4 linked regions of the Cricetulus griseus genome follow. The protein of the gene in region 4 purifies or fractionates together with the protein of the main gene of each other region. This does not show direct contact. Links are inferred from orthologs where the notes say so. Each region holds a gene or a part of one and is shown on either strand. Other genes may lie near its edges. The genes, in order: Pdpk1, Camkv, Ampd2 and Sdc2.

The links.
Region 1: the proteins of Sdc2 (region 4) and Pdpk1 purify together in Homo sapiens (affinity purification with mass spectrometry; 4 studies listed by BioGRID and IntAct, counting the BioPlex papers as one, with this or other methods). This does not show direct contact. The link is inferred for Cricetulus griseus from reciprocal best matches to the Homo sapiens genes SDC2 and PDPK1.
Region 2: the proteins of Sdc2 (region 4) and Camkv purify together in Homo sapiens (affinity purification with mass spectrometry; 3 studies listed by BioGRID and IntAct, counting the BioPlex papers as one, with this or other methods). This does not show direct contact. The link is inferred for Cricetulus griseus from reciprocal best matches to the Homo sapiens genes SDC2 and CAMKV.
Region 3: the proteins of Sdc2 (region 4) and Ampd2 purify together in Homo sapiens (co-immunoprecipitation; 3 studies listed by BioGRID and IntAct, counting the BioPlex papers as one, with this or other methods). This does not show direct contact. The link is inferred for Cricetulus griseus from reciprocal best matches to the Homo sapiens genes SDC2 and AMPD2.

What each region holds. Positions count from the first base shown.
Region 1 is NC_048600.1:43,631,491-43,638,425, reverse strand, and holds part of Pdpk1 (3-phosphoinositide-dependent protein kinase 1), read left to right. Parts: intron 1-266; coding exon 267-335; intron 336-597; coding exon 598-694; intron 695-2,281; coding exon 2,282-2,455; intron 2,456-5,827; coding exon 5,828-6,045; intron 6,046-6,935. UniProt on the Homo sapiens protein: Serine/threonine kinase which acts as a master kinase, phosphorylating and activating a subgroup of the AGC family of protein kinases.
Region 2 is NC_048597.1:216,130,532-216,137,999, reverse strand, and holds the start of Camkv (caM kinase-like vesicle-associated protein), read right to left. Parts: upstream 4,929-7,468; coding exon 4,834-4,928; intron 4,721-4,833; coding exon 4,589-4,720; intron 4,448-4,588; coding exon 4,373-4,447; intron 4,160-4,372; coding exon 4,021-4,159; intron 3,879-4,020; coding exon 3,758-3,878; intron 3,606-3,757; coding exon 3,530-3,605; intron 3,441-3,529; coding exon 3,304-3,440; intron 3,143-3,303; coding exon 3,064-3,142; intron 2,835-3,063; coding exon 2,747-2,834; intron 2,475-2,746; coding exon 1,893-2,474; 3' UTR 1-1,892. UniProt on the Homo sapiens protein: Does not appear to have detectable kinase activity.
Region 3 is NW_023276806.1:49,047,268-49,054,928, reverse strand, and holds the start of Ampd2 (AMP deaminase 2), read right to left. Parts: upstream 4,112-7,661; 5' UTR 3,515-4,111; coding exon 3,427-3,514; intron 1-3,426. UniProt on the Homo sapiens protein: AMP deaminase plays a critical role in energy metabolism. Catalyzes the deamination of AMP to IMP and plays an important role in the purine nucleotide cycle.
Region 4 is NC_048603.1:17,615,451-17,622,876, reverse strand, and holds the start of Sdc2 (syndecan-2), read left to right. Parts: upstream 1-2,886; 5' UTR 2,887-3,376; coding exon 3,377-3,436; intron 3,437-7,426. UniProt on the Homo sapiens protein: Cell surface proteoglycan which regulates dendritic arbor morphogenesis.

The sequences.
Region 1 (6,935 bases), on a different chromosome or scaffold from region 4:
TAGAAGTTGTTAGCCCTCAATAGACATCTTCAGGGGAGCTGAACCACTTGGTAGTGTTCCTGCCTAGTATAGTACCATTTGACTCAGGTCACAGGGAGATGCTTAGAAAAGCAAATTCAAACTTCCCACATAACCTTGTCTTAAGCGATAGGAATACATTAGAGACTGAAGGTAGAGTGGTACAGACAAGAGACTGCAAAGTGAACCTTTTTTATCATTTAAATTATACCAATCCCATTTTTCTTTGTGTTTTCCCTCTCTTAAAGTTCAGACCTTTGGGCTCTTGGATGTATAATCTATCAGCTTGTGGCAGGACTCCCACCGTTCAGAGCCGGGTAAGAGGGATTCTGTACATCTTAGGCTTCTGAGCCTATCACCGCATACTCCATTGCCAACAGCTGCTGGGAGGTCTGGACAAAGGTTGTGCCCAGTGGGGAGGAACTTCCACCATAACTTAAGAATATGTGGTGCCTGGGGACTTTAGTAAGATCTGGCCTGGAAGGTGAGGGTGACATTGGGATGTTCTGTAAAAGTGTACCTAGTATTAGAGATTTGAAAAACCCTTGCCCAAATAACAGCAATTTTTTTAATTCACAGAAATGAATATCTTATATTTCAGAAGATCATTAAACTGGAATATGATTTCCCAGAGAAATTCTTTCCTAAGGCAAGAGATCTTGTGGAAAAACTCTTGGTAAGTATTTTAAATTTTCTGTGGTAAGGAATCATCATAGCTACCTTCTGACTTCTGTCACACTCATGGCCATCCTTTTGAAAAATGTGTTTAAGATAGACAGTAATTATAGATAAGTATTTTTATCTCAGTACCTATTTCTTGACTTTAATAAGAGAGGAAGTTACTTTATTATTTCGTGTGTGTTCATTAACATCATGTCACATTTTAAGTGATTGCCACTGAGTGACTGGGTTTATTCCAGTGGCAGATGGCTGTAAATCCTGCTTCAGTGACATCTGCCAATATCACCTTTAGAGTGTAAATTACATGAAGACTTTAAAGATCAACCTAAGTAACAAGGCAGAGAGAACCAGAGAAAGAGGTGCCATTTTATGTTCAAAAACTGGGGGTCTCAGCCCTTTTGCTTTGTAGCCTGATCTCCTTTCTTCCTATTTCTTTGGGAATCAGTGCCAGGTCCTATATTTATGGGTAGGCCCAGGTTTGGCTCTTCCCAGCTATTCTTCTGGTCTCTTTCCTTCATTTCCCTCATTACGGAGTGGGCTTAATTCAACTTTGCAGGCATAGGAGTGACTGTGCCACAGCCTTTAAGAGGTATGATATTATACTCAGTAAGAGCCTCATTGTTCATTTTCTTTGTTCTTAGAGGCAGTCAGTTCATTTTTTCCCCTTGTGTTAGAAGTTTTGCATTTATTTATTTCTGAGACAGAGTCTTGCTGTTTGGCCCAAGTTATCCTAAAATACTTGACAGCCCTCCTGCTCAACTTGAGTGCTAGGCTTATAGTTATACATCGCCATGCCATACTTGGCTTTTTTAGTTAGCATTTCTTTTCTTTCTTTTTTATTTTTATTTATTTATTTTTTTAGCATTTCTTATTTTTGTGTTCTCTCTCTCTTTTTTTTTTATGTTTTTGTTTGTCTTTTTTTTTTTTTTCCCCAGACAGGGTTTCTCTGTGCAAATAGCTTTGGCTGTCCTATAACTTGCTTTGTAGACCAGGTTGACCTTATCTCACAGAGATCCACCTGCCTCTGCCTCCCAAGTGCACCCACCTGGCAGCATTTTTGTTTTCAATAGTAAGCATTTCTTTCTTTCTCTCTCTTTTTTTAAACAATATTTTTACTCTTTGAAAATTTCAGAAATTGTGTTTTTGACATAAACACTCCCCAACATCTTCCATTATTATCTTCCCACCCCTTTCTAGCTTTGGAATTTCTTCAAGTCTAGTTTGTGCTGCCCAGATAGTCTTGGGAGTGAGGCCTGCCCTGGTGTGTGGTCAGCCTACCAGGGCTCATATCATTTTATAACACTTTTAGTTGCATGCTTTAAAAAGATGCTTGCTGCCACCCTCTGTCTTTTGAGGTTGAGATTTGTTTTACCTGTGGAAAGAAAAGGGCAGAGTCTTGGGTTGAGGGTAAGAGTCCTGGTCAATCTTGGCTTTTTCTACTACAGCATAGGCAGGCCGGGGTATGGACCACAGTGTCCCTACTCTTTCCAAAAGGTCTCAGGGCTTGACACTTGCACAAAATAAATAAACAAATACTTAACATTTTAACCCTGACAGTGACATGTCTTGGCTATCATTTAAGGTTTTAGATGCCACAAAGCGTTTAGGCTGTGAAGAGATGGAAGGGTACGAGCCTCTCAAAGCTCATCCATTCTTTGAATCCATCACATGGGAGAATCTGCACCAGCAGACACCTCCGAAGCTCACAGCTTACTTGCCAGCCATGTCAGAGGATGATGAAGACTGCTATGGCAACGTAAGCAGGCACTCATGGGGACTAGTTCAGGCAAAGAGAAATCTGCTTGCCATGCTGTATAAGTATGATTCCTTGGGACTCTAATTTATGTGATTACTGGTTAAAATGTATGAGTGAACATGGTGGACTTGGTGGTGGTTTAATACTTTGCTCTAAGTAAATGACCAACACACCTTGTGTAGGTGTTCTTATTTCTGGTTCCTGTTCTTATTCCCTCAGCTGATGAACTTTTACCTGTTTGGGGGATATGGATGGGAGGGAGGTCAGGATGTGGTCTGGACCTGTGCATGAGAGACCAGTGTCCTGCCCTAATCCCTCACCCCCTGACACTGGGGCCCAGGAAGCTCATCATTGGCAGCTTTTGGCTCAGAGCCTTTCTGATTTTTTTTTTTTTTTAATGTTCTGAAATGCTTATTTTTTTCAAGAGAACCCAGAATGCTACTGACTTGAATTTCCGGGGATGTGGTGTAGGAGGGTAGACTCCAGTCCCTGTAGCTTGATGCTCAGCAATAGGTGCATACTGTGTTTCAGGGGTGCTGCCCCTTGGGGTTTGTGTGCAATTGCTGTCACTGGCTTCAAAGCAGCTTGTCTCTGAAGAATTGACAATAGACATATATGAGACCTTGAATAAACTTTAGTTTTAAAACTTTCTACACTGAAAAATGGGAAACACCAGCAAAAGAGACAGAAATAAGAAGCAACAGTGTTCCTCCACAATTTCAGTCTTGTTTTTCTTAAATATTTATTTATTTATTTATTTATTTATTTATTTATTTATTTATTATGTGTACAGTGTTCGGTTTGCATGTATGCCTGCAGGCCAGAAGAGGGCACCAAATCTCATTACAGGTGATGGTGAGCCACCATGTGGTTGCTGGGAATTGAACTCAAGACTTCTGGAAGAGCAGCCAGTGCTCTTAACCTATGAGCCATCTCTCTAGCACCCATGATTTCAGTCTTACCCAGACTCTGCTCCCATTGTGATCTCCATATTTAATTTTTCTTTTAATAGTTCATTGATTCAACTCATTTTTTTCTCATTTGATTTCTGTTTTCTGGACTTATTCTAACCAGTTGCCATCCATGGAGTTCTGTTTAACTGACTGAGCAATTCTGACATTTACCTGAAAGCCTTCCAAAACAGCCAGGCTTTTTTTTTTTTTTTTGTGTGTGTGTGTGTGTGTGTGTGTGTGTGTGTGTGTGTTCGTTCTCAGCATTCAGTAAGCTGAGGCAAGAAGATTGAAAGTTGTGGCTGGAGAGATGACTCAGTGGTTAAGATGACTTTCTGTCCTTCCATAGGTTGTGAGTTCGATTCTCAGCACCCACATATTGGCTCACAACTGTCTGTAATTCCATGTCCAGGGAATCTGACGTCTTTTCTGGCCTCTGGGAACATTAAGTACACACATTGTGTGATCGTGCGTGTACACACACACACACACACACACACACACACACACAAGCAAAAGTTCCATATACATAAAATAATAAGTAGAAAGATTGAAAGGTCATGGTCAGTCTGGCTACAAATTAGGCACTGTCTCAGAACAAGATATACATACAAACAAAAAAACCCAAACAAAAGAGGATCTTCTAAATACTTCTAAAGAAGTATTGCTGTTTTTGCCTCTTAGAGATCAAGGAATTATCTGTGTTTTACTTGCTGTTTGGCAATCCCCATTTTCTCCTAAAATGTTCTTTGTGCCCAGACTTGTAGGGAATGAAACTCAAGTGCATCTATGTGGCCAGTGGCCAGTTTCTGCATGTGTTCACTGCAGAGAAAGGCCCTGAGCCAGGAGTTCCTGCCCCTGCCCCACTTGCCTACTAAATGCTCATGAGTGGTGTCCTTTTGGGTCATGTCAGAGGGTGCTGGTGGAAACCTTGGTGTCCTCTTTATTGGAACTCTCATTTCTGCAGGAGTTAACCAGGAATGGTAGGCAGTCCTTCACCTTATGGTTTCTGTCCCTTCCTTTCACTCCCAAAGGCAGCTGATCTTTGAAAGGGCTGAATCGACTCCATTATCGTCTATCTTAGCAGCCAGGAGCATTTCTTCATGTATACTTTACATGCATATTCACCTAAGCATCTTTGAGGGCCTGCTCTGCATTGTTGAGGACAGGGCTTTTTTATGGGGAGCTTTGACTTCTACCTGTATAATCTGGCTCTGAGTGGCAGCAACTTGGTTTTGTTGCGTGGCTGCTTAGCTCTTCTGGTATGTCTTAAGGGCTTTGTAAGCACCTAGACAGAGTTTCCTGTGTGGGAGTTCACCTTTAGACAGACTGGGCTTAGAGAACGCTGCGACAGAGGAAGTCTGCTCTGCAGGTATTCCTTTTTCATGGATGGAGAAGCTCAGTGATGTGGAGCAGCAGCTTTGTGCTGCTTTTAAATTCAGTGTTGGCCAGAGGAGTTTGACTCTGAGCTTCAGTTTCTGTGTTAGAAATTGAAGCCACTTTATTGGCTCTGAAAGATTTTGTAGGGACACCCCTCGTCCCAGTAGAAGCATGGCAGTAATTTTTGTAAATTGATGCAGGGACATGATTTCTCTTACTGGGGACCCTCCAGGAAGGAAGTGGGGACAGCGCTAGGGTATGAATGTGGAGTCAGCAAGATGGAGCTATTACTGCTGGAGGCTATGCAGGCATCAATTCTGCAAAGTGCCACTGGGCAACAGTGAGAAGGTGGGCATAGGACTATAGACTCTGCAGAGGGTAGGGACTGACCTCTGTGGAGTGTAGTAGACAGGACTCTCTTTCTGGAAATTCAGGATATGGAAGGCAGGACTCAGGGGTATGAGGCCTGCAGCCAACGTAACTGCCTCCCACCTATGCTCAAAGATCTTTGACCCTGTCATTGCCTGGGAGTGTGCTAGAATGTGAGCTGCCCATTCTGCTTGTGTTTTTTTTTTTTTTTCCCCTAGAATCATTGCTGAGATTAAAGAATATTTTAAAAAATAAAACAAATATAAGCTAAATCAGACTATGCAGTGGCTCTGAAACTTAAGATCCCAACTCTAAAAGAGAAGTTTGCCCAAGCGTTGAATTCCTTGTCAGAGGGTAGCTGCTCTAGAGGTTCCTGCCTTGGGGTGCTGTGCTGGGTAAGGGTCCCAGGTTCTTTCTCCCTGGAGATAAAGGATGTAGTGTAGCCCCTCTTTGACCTCTGTTTCTATCAGAAGAGGAACTTATAGCAGGAAGGTCTAGCCTTGCTTTGGTTTAGTGACCAAATGGTCATTGGAAGAAACTCTGTCTATCTATTTGAAGTGAGTATGTAAGCTTACCAGGTTGTGAGCGGCTGTGGGGGCCAGGCAATGTGGGAGGCAGTCTTTGACCTTACAGACAAATTAAGGTACGTCTCTCCTTTCCTTTTCCCTTGCAGTATGACAATCTCCTGAGTCAGTTTGGCTGCATGCAGGTGTCATCCTCCTCCTCTTCCCACTCGCTGTCTGCGGTGGATACCAGCCTGCCCCAGAGGTCGGGCAGCAACATAGAGCAGTACATCCATGATTTGGACACTAACTCATTTGAACTAGACTTACAGTTTTCAGAAGATGAGAAAAGATTGTTATTGGAAAAACAAGCCAGTGGAAACCCTTGGTAAGAACTGTAGGCATCGGCACCCCATCTAGAAATACAGGGTGCATGGGAGCAGATGTGGGCTGGTTGCTTGTCCTTGCCTCATCTCTACAGTGCTCTTCAGAGGAACAGGTTCCCAGAGGTTATTGGGGGACCTTGGCTGGGGCTTGAATTGCATTGTATTCTTGTGTTTTTACATCTTTATAAATTGATTTTAAGACTTGCATATATGAAAGCTATATTTTGCCAGCATTTTCTTCAACTTACCTGTCAGTCTATTGGAGGATATATTGTTATATAGTTGTAAATTTTTATAATGTCCATCTAACCTGTTCCTGTTCTAATCTTGTTTTCCATCCAAGTCTACTTGGCTACAGTATTTTTATCTGGCACCCCCACCTTCTTTTTTTGTTTGCTTGTTCTTTTTGAGACAAGGCCTTATCTTGGCCTAGAACTAGCCATGTAGACTACGCTGGCCTCAAAATGATATAGATAGATCTACTTGCCTCTGCCTCCCAAGTGTTAGGATTAAAGATGTGTGCCATGACTGATGCCTGATTACCTTTATTTTCTTCTAGTATTCTTAGGCTTTTACTTTAAAATTTTATTCTCTGACAACTTTATACATACATACATACATACATACATACATACACACACACACACACACTTATTTATTTGTTTGTTTATTTATTTTGAGCATATCTACTCCCATTGCGCTGAGGCCTTTTTATGACAGAGGGGTCTCAGGAATGATGTATATTTGGGTGCAATGGGAGAAGGAAAATTGAGGACTTGTTAAGGCAGGAAGACAATGCATAAGGCTCAGGAGACTTTATGAAGAGAGAGGAAGAAACCTTAGCTTTTCCAGTGACATGCAGATGGCTAAGACTAGAAGGTCTTACTGTCAA
Region 2 (7,468 bases), on a different chromosome or scaffold from region 4:
ATTTTTATGATATAGTTAGTATTACTCCCCCAGAAGAAACATACAGGACTCCATATTTAAAGCAGATCTGCTCCAGCTGGGGAAGACAGTGAAATCTTTTTGGTCTAAGTGGAAAGCACAGGTATTCACAGGAAGCAGGCATCAACATACAGCACAGAACTTTTGTGCAATCCTAGCCTCTCCCCAGCCCAAAGAGACCCACTGTGGCCATGAGCGAGGTCTCTCCCTGTAGTGGTTGGCTCTGAGTCAATTCCATCTCTATGTCCAAGTTAAGACAAAGTCAACAAAAGCTGGAAAATCGTCAGTCCTTCAAGTGCTCAGCTCAGGGGATAGTTCTTGGCTGAAGCACATCACTCACATGGTTTCCTAGAGTCCAGAGGGTCCCCCATCAACATCATCCAGGTACATACTGGAGAAGGTGACCTTCACTCTCACCCTAAGCAATGCACTGAGCATCAGCCTCTCCTCCCCCACTGCCTTCCATGGGTTCCTCCCCAATAGGACAGAGGAAGCAAAGGCAAGAGGGTGGCCAGAGGCTTTGCAGGGTGACGTTTATTTGCCAGGTTCAGCAGGCACACAGTTAGCCCACCAACCTTCACATACCAGAGCAGACCCACAGGCATGCAGGGAGAAGGGCAGGACCACCATGGAGTGCCGAGCTAGGGCAAGGACCAGCGTGTGGCTGCCTTTTCAGGCTGTGACAGGGTCGGACCAAGGGCACCTGCCAAGAGCATCCTTCCAGAGACTGGGAATCTTATTCTACTTCCTCATCCCAGAAGAGCAACTTAACATGGCTGAGCGATACCTCAGCCTGTGATAGCAGAAATAGAGGAAAATCCTCTCCATGTTGCTGAAGAGCAGAAAATCTGCCACTGTAAAAAAGCAAACTCTCAAGCAGCCTATGAGGTACTGCCATGCCTCCCTGGGAGGAGTATTTAGGGCCAGAGGATTTATGGCCTGAGCCTGAAAGAGGTGGCCATGGGTAAGATCTCTTCCTGTGGTAGTGGCATCTAGGAAGACCATGGGAACACCAGCCCTCCCTATCTATCTCAGAATAAAGACCCAGACAGGTTGGGGCCCTGGTACTGGTCCTGTACTCTGTTCTCCTAGGTCCCACTGCTACATCCTAATTGTTTCTCCTTTTCTTTAGAGTTTCATAAGAACCAGGATACAGAGTAACCCACTACAGGACTAGGGAGGGCAAGAAACAACACAAGGATCTTCAGAAGGCCTACCCATGGGAAAAGACGGAAGCTTCTACTCTTCTATCAATTCTCTCCCCCACTTCTGAGGATCCCCACAGCTAATGTGCAGTGCCCCCAATCATGTGACCAGACTTGACTTAAAGCACACTGCCCTAGATTCTGCATCCTCTCTAGCAGCCAGCATCTACTCCTAGAGCAACCCACACACCACAGGTACACACCTTCATGTGCAGGAGCCTAACACTGCTGATAGGGCCTCGCTGGAGGACCAGCTCTCAGGGCAAGGCCACCCAATTTAGGGCCAGGGGAAGTGTGAGACTTGCAGGGCCTGCCTGGGGAAATGATGAGGCAGGAAGGGAAGGAGAAGGAGAGCAAGGACCCCCTGAGTATCCCTAGAGCAGTATCCCACAAGGAACAGAAAGTGGTGAAGCGAGCGAAAGACAGAAAAGCCACAAGGAATCCATGCAGGGGCTGGGGCTGGCCCTGCCTCTGGCCTACCCACCACTCACACACATCCACACAGGAGACAAGACTGCTCTCCCATGGCCCCCAGGCATGCCCCACTGGGATGAGGGAGCTTGGGGGGAGCTAGGGCATCATGCCAGTGACTCTATATACAATGAGAAGCCCCTCATCCACACTCCCACCCTCCTTCCCATCCCTCAAAACCCCCACTGGGCTGCCCATTCAGCTCATCTTCTCCCCCTGAGACTCCTGGGCACAGCCAGTAGCCTCTTCTCCTTTACTAGAGGGAGGAGCCTGGCCTGTGGCACCCTCTAGGGCTGTGCTGTCCGGCTGGGCCACAGCCGGCTCAGGGGTGGCAGCTGCCTTTGCAGCTGGCATGGCACTGCTTTGGGTGGTGGGCACTGCGCTCTCTTCTGTAGCTGGTGTAGCTCTGCCATCAGTAGCTGGTGTAGCACTCCTGTCAGTGGCTGGAGTGACACTCCCATCAGTGGCTGGAGTGATGCTCCCATCAGTGGCTGGGGTGACACTGCCATCTGTGGCTGGAGTTGCACTGCCATCTGTGGCTGGGGTAGCACTACGATCTGCAGAGGCTATATTATCACTCTTGGCAGCACACCCAGCTTCACGCTCTGTGGCTGCAGTAGCACCGCCCCCAGAGGCCGGGGCAGCTCCACTGGCAGCTGCAGCAATGGCCCCACCAGCAGCCCCAGGAGTGGCAGTGTCTGAAGCAGACTGGGCTGCAGCTGTGCCAGACTGCTCTGGTGCCCGGAGCCGTTTCATTAGAGTGGTCACTCGGACAGCCTTCTGAAAGAAGGACAGTGAAGAAAGGCTCGTGGTGAGGCTTGCTGGATCCACTCCTTCAAAATGGCTAACCCACCCCTTCCAGAGTACCCCAGACACCTCTGGCCACCCAGATGCTCAGTACTTCAGCTTAAGATAATAGCAGGAGCTACAGCCACATATGATAGCCTGAGAAAAATTTGTGTTCAGCTGAAGAGGTGCAGTGGCGGCAGGAAACTGTGGGTGCAAGAAGCAGCACTTGGAGCTGGGCCAAGAAAAAGCGAGCCAAACCCTACCTTCCACTTGGCTCTGGCGAAGTTCTTTTCAATCTGGGCACAGACTCCATCCTTGATGTTCTTATCAGATGCGGCATTACCAGAAATCCTAGAAAGGAGGCAAGTGCCTCTTATAGGATGCTCTGTGCCTTCACGGAGACTCCACAGCCCTTCCCTGTGTGATCTAGGACCACCAGGCAGAGCCTCTGGCTTGGTCAGAGATCTAGAAAGTCCCCCATCACCCTCAAGACCTCAAGGATAAGGACTTGTGGTGTAAAAAGTTCAGAGAACAACAGAAACTTGGCCTTAACTTCCATCCTCCACAGGGCCCTGCTCACCATTCATGGGAGATGGCCTCTTCTGCAGTGATCCGCTGGTCTTGCTCCACCTCCATCAGCCTTGTGACCAGGTCTTTGGCTGGGGACAAAGCCAGGGATGGGCTAGGCATGGGCGCCCCATCTCATTGTCTAGATGTGATGAATGGGCTGGGGAGCAGGAGTAGAACCCAGCAGAAGCTGAGAGCAGCGCCTCCCTCCCTACCGCCCGCTACTCTGCCCGCATGCTGGGTGTCTCCTCACCTGCCTGAGAAATATCATCCCAGTATGGAGAGTCAAACTCATAGTCACCAGCCAGGATCTTGCGGAAGAGATTCTTATCATGGTTCTCATAGTCATCTTCTTCTACCTCCTCGTAGAAGGGCGGGTTGCCTGAAAGGCTGCATGGAACAGGGTCACCTAGGATGGCCACAGACACTGCTGTGCAGCCCACCTGGCTGCAAGCCCAATTACGTGCCGTTTCACTCACAGGATGTACATGATGACACCGATGGCCCAGCAGTCCACGGGGCGTCCATACCGTTGCCGTCCTACCACTTCCGGTGCTAAAGAAAAAAGTGTCCATCTGCAGGTCAGTATCAAGTTTAGCCAGATATCATACCACCCATTACCCACCTTCTGGGAAAGAGACTTGTCCCTACCCCAAAGTCTCTCCCTGGTGCCCGTCCATCCACCATCCCGTCCCATCCCTCCTTACCCAGATACTCCGGGGTCCCACAGGGCTCCTTGATGAGGCCATTTTCTAGCTTAGCCAGGTGGAAGTCACTGATGACAATCTTTGAGTTCTTCAGCCTGTTGTAGTACACTAGGTTTTCCAGCTGTCCAGGAGAGAAGGGTAGAAGGGCAGGCAGACGTTATCATGAGGGCCTCGGAAGCTGCTGGACCAAGAGCCCCATGTGGCACTCACTCCAGCCCCAGCCCAGCTGTCAAACGATCGAGTCTCCCTGGCCCTGGCCTTACCTTGAGGTTCCTGTGGACAATCCTGAGTGAGTGCAAGTAGGCCACGGCCTCCAAGACCTGCCGCACCACGTTGCTCGTGTCTCGCTCCGAGTAGTAGCCCTGGTCCAGGATCCAGTCAAACACCTCCCTCCCCGTGGCCCTGAGGGACACCAGCCCCTGAGCCCGGCGTGGGCAGGATCGGGGGTAGGACAGGAACATTTGGGAGGCCTGACTTATAGCAGGCACCTGGCTGGGTAGGGCCCAGGGCCTTGGGACCATGAGGGCTCCAAAAGTGGTTTCTTTCGTTATAAAAGGAAGGGAAGGAAAATGCCCCAGGGACTGGGGGATCCTGGAACCCCAGAATTGTACTCACAGCTCCAGGAAGATGAAGTATTCCTTGCGGGTCACAAACACATCTACCAGCTGCAGGATGTTAGGGTGCTTCACCCTAGTAGCAGTGGGAGGAGTCGGTAGTCAGGGCTGGGTGAACCCCAGAGAAGCTCTGGTTCCTAAGGTGGTGGTGCTTCCTGAGCCCCCTGCCCGTTATGCCCTTCCCTGCCATCTCTCTCCCCTCAGTCCTCACACTCACATCTTGAGGATGCCAATCTCATTCTTGGCAGCCTTCCGCACCTTGCGGCCATCACGCTTCTGGAACTTCTTGCAGGTGTGCAGCTTGCCTGTCGTCTTGTCCTTGGCCCGGAAGATTTCACAGAACTCCTCACTGAAGCCAGCAGGCACTCCGCTCAGCCTAGGCCTTGGGACAGGGGCACCCCATTCCCGCTTCCCCAACTCTGGTCTATCCACCCGTCATTGCCCAACATGCCCAACACTCACGTCTTGATGACCTGTCCCAAATCATATCTGTCAGTCACCTCCGATGGCTGGTTATAGTTCTTCTTGTCGCCCAGAGTTACACACCCAAACGGCATTGCTAGGCTCTAAGATGCAAGCAGAATGGGGTCTGGCTCAGCTGGACCATTTTCTATCCCTCACCCTACCCTCCAACAACATTGAATCTGCTTTTGGAAAACCCAAGCCCAACTCAGGTCAAGTGAAAGGCAAAGAAGGCAAACACAGACCTACTTTGCTTTTTGAAGCCATACTGCAGCCACTCAGTCTGGCTGCTTGACCTACAACAGCTCCCACTAAGCAAAAGTTTACTAAATTGACATATTAGGAAATAGTTTTTCATTATATACACTTGAAAAGACTTACAGAACAATTTGTTTACTTATTTAGTTTTGATTTTTGACACAGGGTTTCACTATATAGCTCTAGCTTCCCTAGACTCATTATGTAGATAAAGATGGGACTAAACCATCAGTTTCTTTAGGGTCAGAGAGATGGCTCACCAGGTAAGAGCATTTACCCTCCAAATCTGAGTTTGATCCCTGGGACCCAAATGATGGAAAGAGAACCAACTTCCACGAATTGCCCTCTGACATCCATGCACATACTATACTGCCCCCACAAATAAATAAATGTAATCTTAAAACAAAACAAACAACAAACCCCACAATTTTTTAAAAGTCAGTTATGATAACTCACATTTGTCATTCAGCACTCAAGAAACTGACATAAGAGGATTAGCATGAGTCTGAGGCCAGCCTGGGCTATAGTGAGAAACCCTATTTCAAAAAATCAATAAAGCGGGCAGTGGTGGCGCATGCCTTTAATCCCAGCACAAGGGAGGCAGAGGCAGGCAATCTCTTTGAGTTCAAGGCTAGCCTGGTCTACAGAGCAAGTTCTAGGAGACCCAGAGCTTTTACACAGAGAAATACTATCTTGAAAATCAACCAATAAATAAAGATATAAAAATATTTAAATTTCAGCTATTCCATGAACATAAATTTAAGTTTATTCCAGCAATAATTTTTGTGGGTTTTTTGAGACAGGGTTTCTCTGAGTAACAGCCCTGGTTGTCCTGGAACTCACCCTATGGATGAGGCTGGCCTTGGCTTACCTCTGTCTTCTGAGAGCTGGGATTTAAGGTATGACCCACCACCTTTGGAAATTTTTTTTTGAGATTATAATTATCATTTCCCCTTCCCCCTCTTCTGCCTTTCTGTAATCAAATTCATGACCTCTTTTTCTTTAGTTGTCCTGGTGCGTGCGTGCGTGCGTGCGTGCGTGCGTGCGTGCGTGCGTGCGTGTGTGTGTGTGTGTGTGTTTATGTGTATGTGTTCCTGGTTATATAACCTGTTAGGATCTTATAGTGTTATTTGAATGTATGTTTTTCAGGGCTGACAATTTGGTGTTGGATAATCAACAGATGTGTTTTTCCCTGGCGTAGACTATTCTTCCACAGCAATCCTTAGCTGCCTGTAGTTCTTTATCTAGGGCTGAGGTCTCACGAGCTTTCCTCCATACTAGTTATTTATCTCTGATGGTCTAGAGATGACAAATTTTGACGAAGCTATGGACAAAATGAACACCGCTGGAAGAGGGCAATTCCCCCTTGAAAAAGCTGGGAGCCAGATGTGGTACACAATTGAAATCCTGGCACTTAGGAGGTGGGGCCAGGAGGATCAAGGAGTTCAAGGAAGCCTCAGCTACTTGATGAGTTCAAGGCCAGCATAGGCTACAGGAGACTTTGTTGTAAAGGACAGAGCAGGACAGGACAAGGCCAGTCTTGTCAAATATACTCTATGTGCTTCTTTTATTTTTTATTACATATGTATGTGCATATGTATATTTGTAGGTGTGTTTATTTAAATTAGAAACAAGCTTGCTTCACATGTCAATCCCAGCTCCTTCTCCCTCCCCATGATTATACATTTTTATGTGTATGGTGTTTGGCCTTCATGTCTGCCTAGGTACAACATGCGTACCTAGTGCCTATGGAGGCCAGGAGAGGGGGTTGGATCCCCTGGAGTTACAGTCATGAGCTGTTGTGTGGGTGCTGGGAACTGAACCCAGGCCCTCTGGAAGAGCAGCCCATGCTTTTAGCCACTGCACAATTTCTCAAGCTCACTCTATGTACTTGAAATATTTGCTCCACCGAAATGCATACATTTGAGCCAACTGTGCCCCAGGAGTTCCAGGCCAACCTGGGCTACATAGGGAGATCCTGTCAAAGAGAGGGCGGAAGGGAGAGAGGCAGACACACATTTATGCCTCAGGACACTTGTGTAAGAATGCTCATAATTGCTATATCCATAATTGCTAAAAGCTGGAAAGAGCCCAAATACCCAGCACCAGCAGGCTGTATTGTGGTACAGTCATATAATAGAATGTTATACTGCGAAGGAAATGAAGGAGCTATGGGTCTACTCAGCCAAATAGTGTGTCTTTCAAAAACGGTGTTGATAGAAACAGGAAAAAATGCATGTAGTGTGAGTCTATTGATAGAGCTCAAAACAGGCAGAGCTCACCATACTGCTGGGGATTCAAATACAGAAGTAACACTGTACAGAGAAGCAGAAAGTAAGTTCTAGGAGTCACAGTGGTTCCTCCGAAGGAACAGGAT
Region 3 (7,661 bases), on a different chromosome or scaffold from region 4:
CTACCCCTCCCACTGCTGGCTGCCCCTCTGAAAGGAGCTACCAGTCTATGCCTCTTGGAAGCCCTAGGATCTGGGCTGGAGGCTCCATGAAAGGCCCTGAGAAAGGGAGAATTAGAAGCCAGGGGTCTTTCTACTCCAACAAGGGCAGAACAACTCTACATGGGCCTCACCACGAGGTTAATACTGTAGGTCTGAAGCTGCTAGTCTCCTAGACTGCCTAAGCTCCCAGGCCACCAGGAAGGACCCTTTTGGGTCCTTCAACAGTCTTAGCCTCCTCCTGCAGGAAGCTGTCCACAGACCATTTGGTCCTCCCAGCCAGCTGTAGAAGATGCAATCCCCCCAGAACCCTCGACCATCTCCACTGTCATAGAAAAGGATTCGGGCTCTGCCTTAAGGTCTCTGTACCCATTTCTAGTGCTCCAGGTACAGTCCCAAAGCTGGACAAAGAAAAAGGAGCTTGACCTAGATCAGGACCCAGCTACCGACTTGCCTTGGTCTCTATTGGAACCCTACCTGCAGAGTTCAAGAGTGCTCTGGTCAGCAGCCCTGTGCCCCTTGCCTGCCTGTTTGCCTTGTGAAGCTGCAGCCAGTCCCCCAGGACAGCTCAGGGGCTGGCATGGGCTGTACCAAGTGCAGCTATAAGCAGGGGAGACCCTGGGATGGCCCCAAGTAGGGGGCTGGGAGAGTTCAGGGGAGTTTAGAAACCCAGAGAAGGTGCAGGAATTGGGAGATGGGAAGAACTCTAATTCTAACAGGACCTTAACCTCTTCAGTGCCAGTGAGGCCAACCTAGATCCAGGGATCTCAACAGGGAGAAACAAGACAGACTGAGATGGCCAAGGCAGCCTGGAAGGGAGGGGCCAAGTCTCCTTAAAACCACAGCCCTAGGGGACAGAAAGTGGACACAGCCTGGCTGGCCAAAGGGTAGGAAGAGAGACAAGGGAGACCAGCCATGGTCCCCTGAGCCCTACACCTCTGGAAAGCTTCATCTGTCCACCCCAGGTCTTTTGGGCCCTGACTACACTATGGACTCTTGAGGAGAAATAAGGCCTTTGCTACATGCAGAGGCTGGCTGGTAGTTGGACCACTGGCCTAATCTGGGTAGGAGCTAGTTACAGAGGCTTCTTAGCATACAAGCCAGTCCCAAGTCCATTATCAGGGTAGGGGCAAACTACTCAGGAAGAGTAACTTGGAACATGGGAGCAGCATTTGGAAAACACATAGGACTCTACTTTTGTTTATTTGCTTGCCTTAACCTCTGGACAGAGGCTATAAATGGGTGAGAAGTGGCCTTGTCCTATCTGGCCACAGCCCCAGGACTCACAGGGGAATGATCTACAAGAGTTCTGTAAAGCTTAGGACTCTGAGCCCATGGGGCTACAATCAGAAATTCCTAGGACGCTCCAAACACTTAAATGGAGACCCTTCATTGAGGAGGGTGAGAGGCCTTCTGAATCCAGTGTAGGGGTAAAGGCTGCTAAGTAGGGGAAAGCAGTGAAGAGAAAGGGATATTGTAGGGGTAGAGAGGCTCTCCCTTGCAAGAAAGAACTGGAGGAAGAGGCAAAGATCAATACCTACCCACCCAACCTAGGGTTTCAAGTCTTTGATTATCAAGAACCTAGATCATAGGCCAGGCAGTGGTGGTGCATGTCTTTAATTGCAGCACATGGTAGGCATATCTCTGCGCTCGAGGCCAATCTGGTCTACAGAGCAAGTTCTAGGACACCACACAGAGAAACAAACAAACAAAACAAACCACCCTGATCCTACCTATGCTCTTAAAGACGGCTCCAGACCATTTGGGGGTTTTGTTTTCTGTCTTTTGCATTCCTGGGACCACCTGAGGCCTTGTGTGTGCTAAGGAAGTCCTCTACTACCGAGCTATATCCTCACCCTTTTCTAGTTTTACTTTCAGGCAGGCTCTTACTAAGTGTCCAAGCATACCTGGAACTCATGATCCTCCTGCCTCAGCTTCCCAACTAGCTAATTACAGGTGTGCATCACTACACCCAGCCACCAACCACTTCTAAGTCCCTGAAGGTAGACCACAGAGCTGCAGAAATGAAGTTAAAAGCCCTCATTTTAAACCCTTTCCTGTCAGGTAACCCTGGGCCTACAGAGCAGGGCTGGGTGAGCAGGAAGGGTTCCAGCAGCCACAGTCATCTTCCTAGTCTGCCACACAAAAGCAAACAACTGCTAGACTCACCAGAGGTGACACACCAGCAACAACCTCCATACTCCCTCATGCCAGATCCCGTCTCCCTGGTTCAGTGCCAAAAGTTGGCATCACAACATACATATGATGATACATACAGCCCAACGCCAAGGGGGGATCACCCCATCAGCTCCAAGATTCTGGTGCCTAGTCCTTCCTCTTGACTAGCCCCTCACTCATTATCAAGACTGCCTCACTAGGCCTCAACCCCAGGGACAGGATGCTCTCAGGGTCTAACCATCTAAGGGTCTCTAGCTCAGCAATAGAGTAACCAGCACAGAACTAGCTCCAGGGCATACACCCGGAAGACTCAGATCCAAACACACAGTCTGAGACACAGATCTGAGCACACAGGTCAGCACAACACAAAGCCCTAGCCAAGCATTTTTGGCAGCATAAAAACAAGCTAAAGGAGGGTAGTCAGGGTGTAAATAGAGCTATGAGGGGTTAACAACATCCAGTCACCAAGGCGTTTTTCTTTAGCCAGAACACTTGAGAGCTGCAGACACCCACACCCCTGGAAGCACAAGCTCAAGTAGCTAAGTCCTCACCAGGATGGACACTCGCCACCACACAACCAGTTGCAAATGGTGCGGAGATGCCCACATAGTAGGAGCCAAACCCAAGGGTGCAAGGTACACAGCCCACCAGACATCTCAAGGGCTGCCGCTCTCCTGAAGAGGCTCACAACACAGACCAGGAACAAGCAAACAGCAAGGATAGTAGCAACGGAGCCCTACCTCTGGTGTATGTGCCAGCAATGCATGACCCCAGATGTCACTCACCGATGAGGGAGTTCTAGATCTAGGGCCTTGGAAAGAGTAACAACCTGAGCCTGCCTGCTGTAGGCACAGGCACCAAACAGGGTAGCCAGTCCGCAAAGCAGTCATCAGTCCCACACCCTCCCCACTTCATTCACACACTTCACACACAGTCTCAGCATCTGCACAAGCAGACACGTGTGCATATACGCCTCTTGTGCACACACATCCACACCCACTCCTTGTTACGGAGGGCAGCATCCCTGACATGGAAACCTCAGACCCCCCCCCCACTCCCTGCGCCACCCAACCCAGTCAGTCAGCCCTAGAACCGAAGCAGAGAGGCATCACTGCAGAGAGGGTGCTGCAGAAGGGGGCCCTCTCTGAGGCACTAGGTGGCCTGGACAGGAGGAGATGGAGGAGCCCCATGCCTGAAGCCAAGAACACTTACCTGGAGCAGCAGCGGAAGCTTGCAGGCTGGCCCGCTTCTTAAAGGGATATTTGGCCTTGGACTTGCCTGGGCCAGAATAGGATGCCATGGCTGGGGCCAAGGCTACAGCGGAGGAACCTCACCAGCTGGGGCCAACCTCTCTCACATCCAACCCCTTCCTCCGCCCCGCCCCCAGCGGGAGTGACTGATGCAGGAAGCAGCGCCCCGCAGGCGGAAGAGGCCCTGGCCACGATTTCTGATGTTGTCTAGGCAACCTCGGGGAGTGGGGCCTCCATCCTGCCCCTTATCCCTCCCTTCCCACTCCAGTCCCTAGAGTGACGTGACTGATGGTGGCTGGGACTGGGGTGGGGGTGGGGGCGCAAAGAAAACAGATGGAGCAGCGCCAGCTCGCAGCTCTGCACCACCCTCACCCCATCTCCGGAACCCTCATCCCTTGCCAAAGCTTCAAGGCAAAGAAGCCAAAGTCCAGGCTAGGCTCAGCCAGAGAGAAAAATAATAAGAATACAGCCTGAGCTTCTCCAGCCTCAAAACCCATTTCCTCCAGGGAGAGGGCAAGCGTACTCAAGAAAACCCAGAGCCTCGGGGGCAGAACCCACTCTTTTCTTCTCCATCTGACCCCAGCTCTAGGGACAGCCCAGGAGAAGGAGGCTGAACTGAGAATTCGAGCCCAGAAGGGAGGAACCTGTCTTGGGAAAATTCCACTGACCGGCAGAAGCTGGAAGTCCTCCTAGGAAGACAGGAAGAGCCGGAGGCAGGGTCTTGTTGAGGTCTGTGGGAAAGACCCCAGGCTCCTCTGCTTGTCTCTCTGCCCGCACACTCAAGGTCTGCTTCCCTAGACCTTTCCAGGGTCTGCTCACACTCCTAGCAAGACCTGACCCTCTTGTCACCCGGACAAGGCACCTTTGTCCCGGGATCCCTCTAACGCCAACACACGCGCCACACGCTTACCTGAGGCCATACTGCCCGAGTCCCGAGTGGTACCAGGGAGGCTGCCTAGTCTACACCGCGGGGAAGCGCGGCTGAGGAGAGGAGAGGGCCCCACAGGGGCGAAGTCGCGCCCCTGGCCCCTGCACCCGCACTGAGGCGGGAAGGAAGGCTGCTTCTCAAAATGGCCAGCTGGACGAAGGCGGACTCCCACGGGCTTCAGCTGCCAGACTGACCTCAGGAGACCCCGGTGTCGCGACCCCCAGCCCGCACTCAAGAGGAAGCAGGCCACGTGCTCCACAGAAAACCGAACCCGGAATTCGCCTAGGGTTCTTTCACTAGTTTCTGGGAATCAATTAGAGATCCCAATCCCGTGGCGGGGCCGTGGGGCAGTCGCGCAACAGGTGCGACCCCGCCTAAACCTTCCCGGCTGCGCGCCAACCTCGCTTGCCCCAGGCCCCGCCAAGTCTGCGGTCACGCCCCGTTCGGCCACGCCCCCGGCCCTCTGGCCACACCCCCACCATTTTCCCTGTTTCCTTAACGCCACGTGGGCGCCACCCCGGCCAGGGTTGGCCTGGCTTGGCCCTTCCGTCTTGGGCGGCTTCTGTGGGTCAGTTTCCTCATCAGTAAGATGAAATAAGGTAATGATAGTGTCTCATTCAAAGGACTTACTGAAGATTGAATGTAAAGTCCCTTTGCACAATGCCTGGCACAAGTCAGGAAGCTATTATTAGGGTCCCAGAATCCATTTTAAGCAGAAGCCCTGCCCTTGCATTCCCCGCATTCCCACCTGAGTCTGTTTCCTTCTATTAGCCATTGGCCCTGAAGGCTGGCTTCCTCATCCCACGTTAGTTTCTATGTTGAGGTTAGACGAGCCAGAATGTCTAGGTTCAAATTCAGGCATCGCCACCTACTTCCTGACTGGCGCTGAAATTCTCGGTGCTATTTCTGTAAAATGAGTATCTGCTCTATATGATACTGGTGAAGATAAGTGAGTTAATTATAAGTGCTTAGACCTGTGTCTGGCCTGTAAGTTACTACCCAATCAGTGTTCATGTAACATTGCTTTGGTCTGGGATCCTTAATGCAACTCATTGACTCTCCTTGTGGGTTAAGTGTTTGCACAGGGCCACAGCCGGCCCTCCCAAACCAGCATTCCCATATTCAAGGGCCAGTCTTACCTAAAGGAAACCTGTAAGGGGAAGTCCCCTTACCTTTATGAAAGTAATTACCTTTATGAGAAGCAATTGTTCCCTTGCCCTTGAGGGAGTCCTTTGCCTACACACACACACACACACACACACAGCTGTTCTAAAGGTCTTACCTCCCCCACACTACATCCCTTCCCTCCTGTCCCCACCCTGAACTCTGGGTCCTGAGCCCCATTCTCTCTATATCTGAGGCGGCCTCTAGGGTGTCTCCTGTCCACCTGTCTTAAACTTTGCAAATAATTGCCTTGGGATGGGGTGAGGGCTGGGTGGCAGCATCCCTCTGTCTTACACGTGAGAGGCAATGCCCACCATGGCAGGCAAAAAGACAAAAACACAAACAAGAAACCCCCTACAGTGGCCTCCAGAAACTTGGGAAGGCAGTGGGGGAAATCCAGTTCACAGAGCATCAAAGACTAAAATAGAACAAGAGATACCTTGTTCTTACTTTGTTATGTTTAAATATCAAAACAGGGCCATTAGAAGCTCTCAGTACAGATGAGGGTGTGTTGAACTAGACACAGGTTATGTGGCCATAAACACTAATATAATCTAAGAACCATCTAGCAAAATATAATCAAGGGTCTCAAGTTTTACTGTTTTTGACTCCTAACAAGTCTATTTTTTTTTTTGAAGATCAAAAAATAATTTTATTGGTGTTTAAAGGAAAAGCTCAGGGCATGCAACTTGTGACTCTCAGCAGATGCCTGCAAGAGAAGGGAAGACATGTTTAAAAGAAAGAGAAAGAAATAAAAGAAAGAAAGAAGTTATACCTTTCTCAATCAGAATTCAGGAGGATGGGCAGACCCAGCTAATCCCATGGCAGCTTCTAGGGATTTCTTCAGGGGGTGGGAATCACAAAACTGTTCTTTAAAAAAAAAAAAAAAAAAAGAGTTCTCTGAGCCTGGGCAGTCCCAGATCCCGGGAGGCAGAACCAGCAGGATTTGAGTTCGGTGCCAGAGGCCAGCCTTGTTTACAGAGTGAGTTCCAGGACAGCCAGGCATATACAGAGAAACCCTATCTCAAAAACAAAACCAAAACCAAAAATAAGACCAAAAACAAACCAATACTAATAGTAAAAATAAAGGGTTGTCTGAAAAATTCCACAAAGTTGTTCAATATTGCAATATTTACCACAGAAAATTTGGAAACATAAAGGCCCAACAACAGGGGAATGATTTTGTTTGTTTGGTCAGTTTTTGGTTTTCCAAGACAGGATTTCTCTGTGTAGCCCTGGCTGTTTTGAAACTCTGTACAAGCTGACTGCAAGCTCAGAGATCTGCCTGCCTCTGCCTTCCCACCACCTCCCAGTTAAATGGGAATGTTTAAATGAATGCAATGAAATACAACCATTAATACTATTCTTGGAGATTTTTTTTTAATCATGTGAAAATGTTTACAACAAAAAGTTAGGTGAAAGGACGTATGCAAAAACTCCACAAATAGAATGGTCCTAATTGTGATAGATGTGATATACACAGAAAAGAAACACACAGAAAGTTACAGTATAATCAAGAGGATGGAAACCAACAAAAATCTGCAGAACTCTCGGAATCACCTGTAATAGCTCCCAGACTTAGAAAGTGGGCTATTCTGAAGCCGGCCCTTAGACATTGTGAAAATGTTAGCTTCCAATAGTGAACAAAATAAATCCCAAAATTAATCAGGTACCATGTGACCATAAAGATGCTCATTTATATTCTGGTAAGATGCAGATTTTGACATAATTGTAAGGGTCACAGTCTCACACTGTTCGAGGTCTATGTCCAGACCTAACTACCTCCCCAACTAATAGGTGGTAACCCTGTTCTCCACCCAACCCAGGCAAACCAGTTCATGAACGCCTTCATCTTGAAGTCCTACCAGCAACAACACACCCTTCACTATATAACTCTTTCTCACCCCCTTACTTCCAGGTCATGTGCTCTGTAGTGGTTGTTGGGAAGTTCACTCTGCTTCCAGCTAAGCATCAGTGTCCCACCTACTCAACACAGGCAGAATTTCAGTGGGGTTTCATTGTCTATGCAGAGCAGAGCCTGGGGAATGAAGGAATGGGTTATCTGTGGCCTTGGACTTTCTGGTATTGAAGCCTTACTGCTACTT
Region 4 (7,426 bases):
ACATTACCCCTCTCATCTTACTTGTGGATGCTTTTGAACACAAGGCGATGAATAATTATCTATTTTCGTGCACTTTATAGCGACTCTCAAAATGGTACCAATTCCTTCATGAGATAAAAGCTCAGGCTTGAGTTTTTTTTTTTTTTTCTTCAAAGTGTAAGTCATGGAGAGTCCAATAAATGCCAAGAGCTTTGGGGATTGTCTTCAGGGAAGCTGACAGATAGGTCCCTTCTGTAGACACATCTGCTTATTAATTTTTATCACTTCCTGTCCAAGCTGAATCAGAGCTTCTTGTTAGGTAGATACTTGACAAACAAAATGAGCACATAATCCAATTTTCCTCAAGATAGAAATTACTTTTATAGTTCTTTACTTCATGTTTCTCTATGTCTGCTATTATTCATGGTCTTTATCCAGTTCCTCATCAAATTGTAGCCTTGCCATAGCTTCCAAATGTTAATTGTTGGAGACAACAGAGGTGTGGATATGTGACCTAGCCTTAAGGGTGAAAAGTTGACTGGGTCCTTTGTGGGGACAGAGGTGATAATGTTTAACTTAAAACAGATTTATTTTATTTTTATGTGTCTGTGGGTTATGTGCATGGAAGTGCGGGTGACTGTGGTGACCAGAGATCCCTCTGGAGTTACAGGAAGTTCTGATTCACCAATTATGAGTGCTGGGAACCATACCTCTGCAAAGTGATAAGTGCTCCTAACTTCTGAGCTGTTCTGATGAATCTTTTCCTGGGGAGACACAGCACACAGATCTATGCACCCCAGATAGGGAACCCAAGAGAGACCAATGTACAAATACCACTAAAGTACAATTTGGTGAACCAGTGGTTTTTACTGGGGTTACCCACAGCAATATGATTGAGGGGTCACTTACAGGAACAGAAATGACTCAATGACAGCTGCATCTCCAAAAGCCACCTCTGCACGGATGACAGCTCACAAAGCTGGGAACCTGGCGCACACTGTACACCTGCAGGCAGCTCAAGGGGTTTGAGAGTGTCCTTTCCAGGTGCCTCAGTTTGTCTAAACCTCTTCCTGGCAACTGGTCTGGTCTCAATCTTCTTGAAGATTTTCTCCTCTAAGATTTTGTAGCATAGCTCTGTCTCTACTGCTTACTCAGGCAGGGAGGGACCTAGTGACAAGGTCATAACAGGACCCCCCACCCCCTCACCCCCCAAGCTATTTTGAGTTAGTTGTGTACCTTGCTTGAGGGGCTTCCTGCAGGATGGAATGTTTCAATCTCAGAGGAAGCTTTTACACACTATCTCTCTAGCCCCTTAACAGCTTTTTGAATGAAGTGTTAATTTTTATTGTGAAAACCTTCCACTTCTCATGGTGTTCTTCAACCACAAAGTATTCACCTTACACATAAGTGCATAGCTGATTCTTTCAAAAGCCAAGCTTCACTCTTCTATTTCACCATTTCTCCCTTTTGGCTGCTCAGGCAGGAAGTTGGTAGTTCCCTGAAATAGGGTCAATGTCTTAACGAAGGTTTATGATTCTCCTGTTAATTTTTCCTTTGAGATCCATAACAGTGACTTATCACTGAAACATCCTAACAGTCACTTTAGATGTGACCACAGTTTAGTCTGAGTTCTAAAATGTCCATGGCCTCATGGCTGTATCTATATGTATGAGTGTCTTAAAGGGGCACAATTTTTATATGATATGGCTCGAGCTTTGGATTTGTATTTACGTACAACATAGGTACTGTGTATTTTTAATGTATCCCAAATGATAATAAAGTAGTGACCAAGTCTGAAAAGTTCTGGCCTCTAGGAATGGGCACTGTAGAAGAAAATGAATCCATAATTCATTTAGTTCCCAAATCAAAGAGGAAAACAGCGGTAGAAATTGGGAGGGTCTGTGCCTGCCTGGTTCTGTAGCACAACACAGCACTGAGCTGCAAGGCAAAGCCTGATACTTCAGACCAGTCTCCTCCACTCAGGAAATGCATATTTATTATTTTCTTCAATCCAGAAACGACTTTACCCTTCTCTGACCTTTCCTTTCATCTGCTATTATCTAGAACTTCTATCTAATTTTTCATCCCCATTTGTTGCTTCCAAATGTAAACACCACTATGTGGAAACTGAGCTTAAATGATGCCTGAGGGATTGGGGGTGGGGTGGGTGGAGGGCGAAAATAAACTGTGAGCGGCAGAAATGGCTTTTAAACCTTTTACGAAGCTGCACTTTGGAGCTGTTGCGTTTTCGGATTCCCTTTCCTCTGCTTTTTTTGCGGGGGAGGGGTCGGGGGTCGAGGATAATCTAACACACACTTGTTATACTCGTTCTCATGTTTTCTGGATTGCAATTTTCATGATCTGGTGACCTGTGGACACTGTAATTTAATCTATAAACTTTCTCATTTTCCCGACTCTCATCGCTGTTTCTTCTAGTGACCTAACCCCCATAAGCCAGAACAGGATCAGGATCAGTGTGCGGATCGCCCTTCGTGGATTTTTTTTTTTTTTTTTTTTGCTTCAGAAAATTAAAACGAAGAAAAAGGAAAGGAGGGGCAAAAAAGAGGTGGCGGAGAGCGGAGAGGACGTTGAGAAGGGGAAAAGGGGGAGCAAGAAAATGAAAGAGCCCTGAGGTTTGCAGAGGCGCGTTCCTGGAGCAGCCACAGCACGGAGTCGAGGGCTCCCACTGGCTCTGGAAGCTGCCAATCGCGGTGTGATCCTGTAAGAATTTCTCCCGGGTTTATCCGGGAGTCGCTGCCGCCTGCTTTCCCCTAGTCGCCAGGAGGAACCGGGAGCTGCGGGCGAGGAAGAGAGGGAAGGTGGGGGCGGAGGCGGCGGAGGCGGAGCAGGGCCAGGGAGAGGACGTGGAGGGGTGGGTGGGGGGTGGGATCTAGGGGAGGACCCGGGAGGCGGCGGCGCGCAGGAGGAGGGGCGCAGCGGCCGAGCCTCTAGTCCGGCCCCCGGGCGCCCGCCGCGCTCCAGATACCCCCGGAGTTCAGGCCGCGCGGATCGCGCGTCCCCGCCGCTCTGCATCCCAAACTTCAGCCGCTGCTCCTTCACAAGCCTGTGGCTGCTTGCTTCACATCAGACACGCGAGTCTTCCGAGGGAAAGCACGCCGCCGCCGCGCAGGACCAGCCCAGCCAAGCAGCCTCCCGAAGCAGCGACTCCGGTTGGGAGCGCAGAAGCCAACAAGTGAGAAGGAGCCGCGTTCCCGGGGCGCAGCGCGAAAGCCGGAGCGAGCGCCCGAGGAGACAGCAGCTAGCGCCGGGAATCCGAGCCTGAGCCCGAGCCCGAGCCCTGCTCGCTGCGGCGGCTCAGCTCCGGTATCTCCAGGCCCGCCGTTCTGTGCTCTGGGCTTCGTTTCATCCGGGTTGCGAGCCACGTCCCCGGGGGAATATGCAGAACGCGTGGATCCTGCTCACCTTGGGCTTGATGGCCTGCGTGTCGGCGGAGACGGTGAGTGGGCCAGGCCGGGGGCGCGCGCTGTTTTGGGTGCCTGAGGCTACGAGAGGAGCCAGAGGGAAATTGGGGAGTCTGCCACCCGTAGACGTGGGGCTACTTAGAATGTGCTGGGGCAAATGAGCTTGCTTTTCCACAGCTCGTCCCCGGTCCCTTCCTTTCCCCTCTTGCAGAACTGAGCAGTTACAGGGAGCTATCCCATGTCTTCGGGGATGGGGCCACCAGAATGGCATCTCAGAGGCTCCTGCAGTCACTCCCAACTTTTCGCTCTCGGGGCATTTTGTGGTGTGGTCCAGGAAGGACAGAGGTCTTAGAGTGGCGGTCCAGGAGAGCACCGCTAAGGGCCAGGGATGAGTTGGAAACTTTGGTGAGTGTCTGTTCTTCGAGACAGTGGCCCCTCTACTCCAGGTTTTGTGCATGACTGAATGCAAGTTTAGGGAGACAGGGCCCATGTTAAAGAAACTCGAAAATAGGGGGAGAGGAAAGTTTGCAAAAGTTCATTGGTTTGATGCCCCCTGTTGCTGTGGCAAGGAAGCCACACTGCGTGGAGACGCAGTCGGTGGTCTAGTTGGAGGCCACGGCTGCTGGAGCTTTCGGGAAGAGGCCAGAGCTCCGTCCTCTGGCGTCTTCCACGAACCCTTCTCATGGAGAGAGGCCCGGGGCTTTAGGGGAGAGAGGAAAATTAATCAGATGGCACTGGACTGATGTAAAATGGAAAGGGGAGGGTGCTTGTGGCATTGCTATGGTCCGCAGAGCCTCTGGCTTCTGGGGAATGGAGACGTCTCTCCTGCTGCCCTCATGAGCCTGTGGGTTTCGTACTCCTGTGAGATTGTCTTCTTCCAGTGCCAGCATCATCCCCTCTCGGTGGCGGTGGGAACTTGATTTCTCCTCAGGATTGCGTTTCTGGGATTGGAGTTTGTTTCTCCGCATTGCCCAATGAACGCCCTCTAATGGTAACTGCCTCCCCGGCGGCTCGCGACTACTGCGGCTTCCCCTACCTAGGCCACTGCAGCTGTTTTGGCAGGTGGAAGCCCCGGCATGCAGTCCCAGGGCGGCCTTCTCAATCAGAGAGTGCTACTGTTTCCTTTCCTTTCCTCTGCTTGTCTACGCCACTACGTTGGCATCCAGTAACTTGTCCAATTCGAATTAATGGAAAGGTCCCTTCGAAAATACTGTATGTCTTTAGCTGGGCTTGGGAGTCTCTTCCATTTTGACCCTAGGCAATTAGGGATTGGGAAACCTTTTGGCATTCGGCATAAAATGGACATTTGTGATGGGTGGGGGTGGGAGTGGGGGTGGGGGGCAGTGATGCTCCGCTGTGTTGGTCAGAAGGTCGCTGTGCATTGTTTGAGGCTGGGGAACTTAGAATTGGATACTGGATATTTCAGCTATTGGGATGTAGAAGTACAACTCTGATATTTACAGGATTTCTCACTGGCAAATGATGTTTAATCCGTTGGAATTAATAATCTTTCCCAGCTAGTTCTGAACTTTGGCTTGTTGTAAACCAAAAGGGAGCTATTCTGTGTTTATTTAGGAAAAAAATTCATTGCTCATCTGTTGCAAAGCAGGGCAAAAGAACTAAATGATTTCCAGAGTGGATTCCTGCTAAACTGTGCAGAGTTGGAGGACCTTTTCTTGGCAGAACCCTATTGAGAGATTTGCTAGGAAATGTTCCCATTTGGGGATTCCAGGCAAGAAAAACCCTTTGGAGTTTCTGTGTGGGTTTGACAACTCCTTAAGGTATGGTGGGGTTTGTTGCTGTTTTTTTTTTTCCCCCTGAATCGTGCTTGTCTTCTCTCCCTGCGAGATTTCTCTTGTAGTCTTTTATCTTTGGGGGCTCTACCATTTTCTCAGTTCAAACCAGAATTGAATGTTTTCCAAGTGAACAGCTTTATTGGAAAGATTATGTTTTGAGCCCTTGAACTATCATTCGAAGGGTGATTAAATATTTTTAAAATGTCAACTGAGAATCCTACCTAGAGCCTTTGTTGGACAGTGAGTCAATCTTTCTCAGTAAAAGCTGTTTCAAAACCCAAACCGACTGACTGATAGCCCATTTACTCTGCCCCCCCCAATCCGGTCTCTAATTTACTTCACCTAGAACAGCATAAATATACCCAAGCTTGAAACACGAGACTTTTAAAAGTTCAGCTGTTACAAAACATTATTTCCAGAACTTTTTATTTTCATTTGGAAACTGCAGTGCTGCCCAGGATTTAAAAGTAGTGATTGTCTGAGCTTTAAGATTCCATCGGCAGCCAGCTAGTGAATTCTTTAGTTTAGACTTAGCTCCAAGGGGAGGGATGCGTCTCAGGCACTAGGGTTCAAAGCTGTTTGGGGAGAGGAACTTGGGGCCCCTTCCTGAGGATACAGAGAAAGCGAGGAAGCCTGCTTCTTATGTCTGCTCATGCTTTCCACTGGCAGCTGAGGATTTTCACTGCCGGGAGGATGGAGCAGAGTGAACATGCTGCTAGTTTTTCTGTCCATTTTCTTTACATGACTGTTTATCTTGAGAAATAATACAGCACAGACTTCTATAAACATATAATTTGAACTGGAAATATGTTTAAGGAAAGGAATCATCTTGAACTGGTGGAGTTTTATAAGCATGCTTAGATGTGTGTAAATGAAAGGAAACTGTCAAGTCATTTGGAGGCGTGCACTACCGCAAAAGGCATCATGAAAGCCAGGCTCTGGAAAGTTTGCACTAGAAAGGAAATTAAAGTTGAAATACTATAGTTCTTAGCAGTCTTTCTCTAAATGTATTTTGTCAGTTCTAATGGGGCAAATTACTTGTGCAGGAGAATCTGACAGAAACAAAGGCTCTTTATCTCTCTGCTCAATATTAGCAGTAGACTGTGTCATTTAAGAAGGAAAGCTCAGAGGATGGGTGTGCAAGAAGGAATTTGAGTATGTCTTACAACGATTGCTTATAGAAACTGGTATGCCTTTTTCTTTTCATTAAAAATGCTGATCAGTAGGTAGGCAGTACTGTTGCATACTTATCAGATACCCTATGATATTTTGATCCATGTATGCCTTATGTGATGTTCAAATCAAGGTCTTATATCTTGTTTTGGTGTTGTCTGCCATTCAAAGAGCAGTCTACCAGTGGGCTGGGTAACACGATCATTCAAATGGCACCTTGGATAATCATTAGTTGAGAAAGAATTTTAAAAGGCCAGCTAGTTTTTCCAAAAGCAAAACTTATTTTTCAAGCCTCCAGAAGCCCCCCCCAATACACACACACACACACACACACACACACACACACACACACCGGACTTGACTATAGGTAACTTGGAGTCTTTGGGGGACTATCTTTCTGGAGACTGACTTGGCCATACCCAGCCCAGCCAGCTCTGTTATTAAGGTTTACAATGAGTCTAGCCAAGCCATTGTGCTATTGGCATGTCTGCTGGTTGGTGACCCAGCAGGTCCTGGAAAGAATGCCTCCGAGCAGAGGTTCTCACCAAGCTGTCCTTCCTCCCCTGCCAGAAAACCAAATAACAAGATCTCCCCATCATTCTGTCCTTCCCAGGGCTGAAAGAAGGCCTGCCATTCACACCTGTGCCAACAGTAGTACATTCCAGTATCTAAAAGTCACCTCATTCTTTCATGGAGAAGGAACCAAAATAAAGCCTTAGAAGAAAGCCCACAACACAAAGCTTTTGCTGAAAACAAGGTCATCCTGTTTTAACTTCTTAGTCTGCCACACCATTTTAATTCTAGTCCTGTCCCATGGACTGGAATTTTGAAAAAATCCTTGATTTATTAATTCACCTGTGTATTAACTCTACCATTTACTCAGTAGGCAAGACTTCCTGCAAGGTGCTCAAGTGGGCTCATCATGGCTTGGAGTCTGCATGCCTTGGCCAGATCAGTGGCTCTATGATGGTGCCACTCCCTAGTTAGTTCCTTCCTGGTCACTGTTGTGATCATTCCTGAGATACAACTGACTTTTAAGCATCCCCCCTTTCATGA